2 linked regions of the Drosophila melanogaster genome follow. The protein of the gene in region 2 interacts with the protein of the main gene of each other region in a pairwise test. Each region holds a gene or a part of one and is shown on either strand. Other genes may lie near its edges.

Region 1 (3,932 bases), about 12 Mb from region 2:
GTATGCTGAGCTATTAATACCTGTTGCAGTGATATTAATACGTTAATTGATAAGTACAAATGGCATTTGCATTGCGAAATGATTCGAGTTTCATTAATACTAAAGGTGGCTAATAACAATAAAAATGGATGTATTTACACTATGAACTACAACTACAACTATGCTATAATGTAGGGTGTCTACTGTTCGGCGTCGCTGGACCCGACGCTCTTGTCGGGAGTGTGGGATCTGCTGGACGCCTTGGAGGCGCAGGAGCGCACGGACAGATCCTCCGGCTCGCTGTCGCAGTAGCTTTCGTTGGAGGCCTCACTGTGCGCCAGTGGACTCAGTCGCTTTAGTAGCGCCTCGTTGAAAGGATATGTTTCGAGATCCGGCTCCGATCCGCCGCTGGCCATTTGGTTGGGATTGTAGCTGGGTCCACCTGGTCCTCCGCCGCCGGGCTGCATGGAGGCTGCGGCCGCAGCGAAGGCCAGGAAGTTCAAACTGGCATTGAAGAGCTTGCACCAGTCGAGCAGAGCCGCTCCCTGGTTATCGGTTCCAGTGGGCGGGGCGTTTGCCGGAGTCACTGGTGCTATCACAGGCGCTAGATCCGCAGGATTCGGGAAGGGTGCTGGCAGTAGGGGCATTGTGGTGTCCGAGAACATGGGAGTCTTCGCCTGCTCCGTGACAAGAGCTTGTGGTGCGGAACTGTTGGCCTCCAGGGCATTGTTGTTCTTATCGTTCACTTGCTCCGGCTGATTGGCGGAGTTCACCCGCTTGGCCGGATCCTTGGCCCAGTTCTTAACACTCAGCAAGGGGTAATTGTTTTTGCTGTAATCCTCGGAAGCAGCGGGCGAATCAATCACTTTGTTGTCCTCTGATTTCGGCTGTGCATCTACCAGGACATCGGCAGTCTGTGGGGTGAGTTTGGAGTTGAGCAGGGCCAGAAGATTCAGCTGGTGCAGCATGTTGTTGGAGTAGTCCATCACGCCGGCCTGACCCGGATGCAGTGCACCCTCCGGATGCAATCCACCGTTCTTTTTTACAAATTCCACAAGGCTAAGCTTCTCCAGCAGGGATTCATTTTGCACTGGGTAATCGGCTGGACTGTAGGGCAGTGCACCGAAGCCCAGCTCCTCGTAGTTTGGAGGCAGTGCCACGAACTTCGGTGGCAGCTGGAGCTGCAGCTCGAACTTGGCGCGCTTTTCCGGTGGCGTGTCGAGACCCAGGTGATCGGGGCCCAGCTGGCGGCACATGAAGCGCAGCTTCTGCTCGTTCTTGCACCAGCCACGCAGCGTGGACTCCGGCACTCCGATGTCCCGCGACACACTCGCCTTGGTTTCACCATTGTGGATGCGCTGGATGGCACGCACCTTGTCGTTGGGCGTGAGGTTCCTCAGAGGACGCTTGCCGCGCGTGCTCATCCGGATGTTCATGTGCTGGTAGGCGGAGATATCCATGGTTCTATTTCTGGTTGCGCTGGCGATAGCGATTGCGATTACGATAGCGGTTTCGAAGCGCGGACTTTGCGGATGCGACCACCGGTGTGCACTCCTCGAACTCGCAGAAGGATGTGATTGTGAATCCGATTCCGCGAAAGGCGAGCTGCGAACTGCGAACGGCGACAGGCGAACGGCGACCGCCGAGATGATCCGATGATTTTGCGGCGAAGAGAACGGCATGACGTTTTTCTCGCTTTTTCTCGACCAATCGGAGCAAAGCGCCACTCTCACCTTTCTCTCTCTCTCTCTCTCGCGCGCGCACCCACCACCCACCAGTGCAACAACTTGTTACTCATGTCCTGCTCACGAAATTCGCTCTGTTCGGCTCTCTTAACGGGTTTGATGTCCTGACCATCATTCGCGTCCCTCTTCGCGGGCTGCGTATGTGTGTGGTGGTGTTGTGGATCTAGATATTCAGCATGCAGGATGCACATTTCCAAATCGGCTCCTCCACGTGGCTGCGTGTGTGTGTGTGTATGTGCCCGTGTGTTTATATAAAAACCAGTTATTTACCTCCCATAAACATTCCCTCCTGCGAAAGTGTGTGTGCGTGTATTTGGCCAACCTTCTCGCATTCGCATGTGCGTGAGCGGATCTGATACGGACGTGGACCTGGTTGCACTTTTGGGTTGCGAATCTACCGAGAATAACACAATTCCACTCTATATTATTTGCACTCTCCATCTGTGTGTTTGCACTAATTTCCATGAGTACTCTTTGTCCGTTATTTGTGGTAAATATTTTCATTGCACCCTTATCTTATGAAGATAATAGAAAATATATAGACTAAAAGGTGATCAGGCTAAACTTATTAACACAAGTTTTGAATTCACTGCGTTTTTTTAAATATTTTTATTTATATGTATAAGTGCTCACGAAGTACAATAATATAAAAGAATAGCACATACCTTATATGGAGAACTTGCATAGTTCTTTGCTGATGATTATTCGCACACAAAATTGTTTTAACCTTCATAAAACGATGTAATTCATATAAATATATTATTTATGGATCACTTCTAATTTTTTGATTGCGACTGTATACTAAAAACGTACGTAATGTACATAACACCTTTGTTGGAACACCTTTCTAATTGTAATTCTTTGATTCTACCCCTAATCCAAAGAACTATGTATATGCTGTCAAACACTGTTATTGTTATTAAAATGGATTATAATGTCTCAATGAATCTCGTCGTTTAATTATTGTTTAAACTATTAATGCGTCTGCGCCGTCCACTAAAGAAAAAATAACAAAAGCTTTCAATCTCGAGAAAACTATCAGCATTCTAGAAGAAGAACTGCTTTAAAAGCTTTCAGCCTGGTAAATATACCAAATCATATTATAAATTGCGAAAATTGGCTAAGTACACTTTAAAATAATCATTTTAGAAATGCTAATCCGTTCAATATTCTCCTTAAATAATATCACACATCCCTTTTTTAATACTTTTTTATTGTGTTATTAAAAGACACAGTTTAGAAAGTAAGTAGCCTTTAGTATTTATGTTTGATTTACACATATTTAAATAAATTTTCTATTAACTATAATTTATTAGATTACATCTACTTGTATTGATTAATTTCCGTTTTGCTGTATGTTATAACTATATCATTATTTATTATTAAACAATTTTCATTCAAGTTTATTTGTCACAAAACTGTATTTTAAAATGAATGGATTGTTTTAAATTAAATATGAAACCTACACAATAAATAAACGATTGCAAGCGTACTCAAATCGTAATTATCGATTAAAATTAACAATTTGTTGACATACCGCATTGAGATACTCTTTCTGATACATAAAGTCAAAATAAGTGCACATTTAATGGAAAAATCAAATTGCATTAGATTTATAAGTATTTGCAGTATAAGTATGAGGAAACGGTATTTATTTTAAGTCTCAATTTATACATACATACAAATTTAAATATATACATAACCTATGTTGGCAGTTAGCCCTTACATTTTGTACATACACTTTATTGTTATTATATACATAATTTGTTTCAGTCGAAGGCTTATTAAACTAATTCTGAACGCATACGTCAAATGCACATACCCATATAAGTATATATCTTAATATATACTGCATGCCTTATCTTAACTTTAAACTAAAAAGAGATAACTATTCGGGGGCATCAATGGGAATAAATGCAATCAATTTAATAATAAATAAATAATATTAACTCTTTGGCGGCAAATAAAATATCTGATGGGTGCGTGGATATAATGGAATCTTCGTTTGCCAGTGCCTTCAGCGATATATTCTGTAACTTAGTGTAAGTCTTAAGTAACTTATTGTACCATTCATTAAAATTCGAATAATGATCACCGACATTTTGTAAAATTAGAAAACAATTAAAGTTAATGGAATACGCTATGAAGGTGACTGTGAGTGTGAAGATTCCGTTTGCTAAAAATTTACTTGTGAGTATATTTATGGAA
Region 2 (3,436 bases):
AAGAAACGACTTAGCCGCCCTATCTATCACATTTGCAATAGGTATAGGAAATCATATCAATTGGCATCCAAATAATATACATATGTATTTGTATCTTTTACCACCTTCTAGCTAAAGATAACTAACACGCAAAATGCCCCACCAAGAGAGAAAATCGATGTGGTTCTTTGGCGGATTGGCGAGCGTAGGTGCGGCCATGGTGACCCATCCGCTCGACCTCATCAAGGTCACGCTGCAGACGCAACAGGGTCACCTGTCGGTGGCCCAGTTGATCCCTAAACTCGCCCGCGAACAGGGAGTACTCGTCTTCTACAACGGCCTCTCCGCCTCAGTGTTGCGCCAATTGACATACTCCACTGCGAGATTCGGGGTGTATGAGGCCGGAAAGAAGTACGTCAATACGGACAGCTTTGGCGGCAAGGTGGCCCTGGCAGGTGCATCCGGTCTCGTCGGAGGAATCGTTGGAACTCCGGCTGACATGGTCAATGTGCGCATGCAGAACGACGTAAAACTACCGCCGCAACAACGACGCAAGTATGTGAAAATTATTTTAATCCTTTAAATAGTAGTTTGCAGGGTAAATCATTTTTGAGGCTTTAAACTTACTGATTTTTTGTATTTCAGCTACAATAATGCCTTCGATGGACTGGTTAGGGTCTACCGCCAGGAGGGATTCAAGCGACTCTTTTCTGGAGCCACCGCAGCGACTGCCCGTGGAATCCTGATGACGATTGGCCAAATTGCATTTTACGACCAGACGAAGATCTACCTGCTGGCCACGCCTTATTTCCAAGACAACCTGGTTACGCACTTCACCGCCTCCCTGGTGGCCGGAACGATAGCCACCACTCTCACCCAACCGTTGGATGTGCTGAAGACGCGGTCCATGAACGCGAAACCCGGCGAGTTCAATGGCCTGTGGGACATCGTGAAGCACACGGCGAAACTGGGTCCCCTCGGCTTCTTTAAGGGCTATGTGCCGGCATTTGTGCGTCTGGGTCCACACACGATCATCACCTTTGTGTTCCTGGAGCAATTGCGTCTCAAGTTTGGCACCTTGAATTAGCCGCGATGCCAATCGATACCTTAACTAGGCAATAATTCTCCTTGGCTGGCTGGCAGATTCCCTTGAGCAATGCAACATTCCAGCAGCAATTCGTTCACCGTGTAGAACATAACTTAGCTTTAGCCCGTTCCAGTTGTTAACCAAGATGCTTTTATGCTAGCAAAATATTTGTTGTTAAGCGTTCAATGCCCGCTATCCCGAAATATATACTTTTTAATAAAATACAGAAATGTATTCATTTACCGTGAATATTAATGCTTAAATAGTGTCGATTTTTTCGCAATTTGCTTGTTTAAAGTAAACATAATATCTTTCCACTGCGTATAACAATATGTATATTTGTACTGGATTTTGAACAAACTTTAAGCTAAGAGCAATTAAACAGAAGGTAGACCATTAAATATATTCTGTGCTAATTGGTGTGGGCATAGAAGGTAAAGGTTGACTCTATCGTACTCCATCGTCATTGTCGTGCTGTTACTAATTATAAATATTTTGTTAACAATGGCTAAGCATTTGTTTGTTGTTGCTTTATGTGTAAAATCGGCCATTCAATAAATAAATAAAAAAAAGGACAAACGGTTTCTACGAAATGTAAATAGTCTTTGTTTTTCTATAAACAAATAAATTAAAATTAATAATGTTATCCCAAGACGTAAGAAGGATTAAAATAAGGTGCTCAGAATTTAAAACAGCTCGATTTTTTTTTTAAATCAGTTAAAAGAAAATGAAGGGTAATAATTATTTCATAGGTGTACCGTCCTTAAAGTGAATTCAATCGTATATTTCGTGATGTTGGCAATTAAATATAACTGTGCAATAGCTTAATAAAACAAAGGGATCGCGTTTTGATATCAATGAACCATTTCTGGGAATAACCGAAACAAGTTCGTTTCCGGTACAAGCGATCATCTATCTAAATCCTTATATACCAATGACAACGAATGATCAGCCATCAGTCGTCAAAGTATCGTAATGGGCTCCTCTTTATGTCCCGTCTCTTATCTGGCGGTCTTGGCAATTATCGTCCTAACCAGTAATATTACAGTCCAGGCTAAAAGGACATTCAGGATCCAGAAATTAGAAAAGGTGACTGAGGATACCTCATATCTGCGCAGTCGTCTGCGTATCGCTGAGTCCGAGGAAAATGAGTTGAAAGTCAGCGGATATCTCGATCTGAATCAACGACTCGACAATGATTGGACGGTACGTAGTTTATAATATATAGTGGAGGAATTAATTATTTATTATTCCTTCAACAGGTTGTGCTTAAGGTTTCAAGATCCCCGGATAGCGATGGAGACTACGAGAAGGTTTTGACATTCGAAATGCAGCTTTGCGACTTTATGAAGAGCTACTACAAGGATATCTTTTACGAACGGATCAAGGAATACTCGAATGCCCCGCATCCCAGCAGCTGTCCTCTGCCCAAGGAACGCTATGTACTAGAGGACTATCCCTTCAATGTCAAGTTGCTCAAAAAGCTGATGAGTCCGGGCTTCTATCGCATAAAGTATACCCTCAAGAATGAAGAGACTAAAATATTATCGTACGTTCTGGATTTGGAGTTGGAGGAGAACTAATCAATCTCGAAATTTGCTAGCTCAAATGCTCCGTTTATTGCCTGAAAAATAAATCTATTCGTAGGATTGCATCTGCTTCAAGACCTCGTCGTAGACGTATTTTCTGGCCTCAGTGCCCCAAATGAAATCCAGATGGGCCCACTTCTCGAACGGCACCAGGTAGTCCAGCGCCATGTTGGGCAGTTCGTCTCTCAACTTGCGGACATCGCTCACATCGCACATCCAGTCATTGGCTCCGTAGTACAATAGAACCGGGGCCTTGGCATTCTTTAGCTTGTAATCCGGAGGGAAGTAGCTGCCGTACTCATAGGGATTACGGAGAGCGGTGTAGTCGAATTTACGGAACTTTCCAGAGTTATATTCCTGACAAAAGTGCAAGTTCTGGTTCACCGATGCGCCAGCCGGAGACGTGGCCTTGATGTGCTCAAGGAGTTCCTGACCAAATGGAGAGCAGCATTATAAGTTACATGGAAATATAATTTATAGGACCAAGTTCATTTCCAGATACTTACGTAGTCCAGCTGTTCGGTATCATAGCCTCCAATCAGGAAGATCTCGTTGGCGCACATGTCGGCATAAGGAGAAGTGGCCTGGCACATCTCTATGCCCAAATCCTGCTTGAACTTATTGCTGGGCATGAACTCCATGGATCCGCAGACCTCCACGATGGCATTGGGCTGGCCCAAAATGGGTGCAAAGGCGCGGGTCAAGGGGCTCTTCATGTTGCCCATATAGGCGGCTGGTCCCAGAAGATGGGCGGACTTGATCTTGTCATTGTACTCGGGTC

The links.
Region 1: the proteins of CheA87a (region 2) and danr interact in a two-hybrid assay, tested with the Drosophila melanogaster proteins (one large-scale study listed by BioGRID).

What each region holds. Positions count from the first base shown.
Region 1 is NT_033777.3:25,135,740-25,139,671, reverse strand, and holds the start of danr (distal antenna-related), read right to left. Parts: upstream 1,601-3,932; 5' UTR 1,440-1,600; coding exon 180-1,439; 3' UTR 1-179. UniProt on the Drosophila melanogaster protein: Probable transcription factor with a role in the retinal determination (RD) network. Regulates ato expression and is required for normal R8 induction and differentiation.
Region 2 is NT_033777.3:13,367,628-13,371,063, forward strand, and holds CheA87a (chemosensory protein A 87a), read left to right. Parts: upstream 1-2,020; 5' UTR 2,021-2,041; coding exon 2,042-2,272; intron 2,273-2,328; coding exon 2,329-2,649; 3' UTR 2,650-2,703; downstream 2,704-3,436. Other genes in the region: Dic1 (dicarboxylate carrier 1), read left to right, coding at 134-534, 625-1,066; Lip3 (lipase 3), read right to left, coding at 2,704-3,084, 3,162-3,436.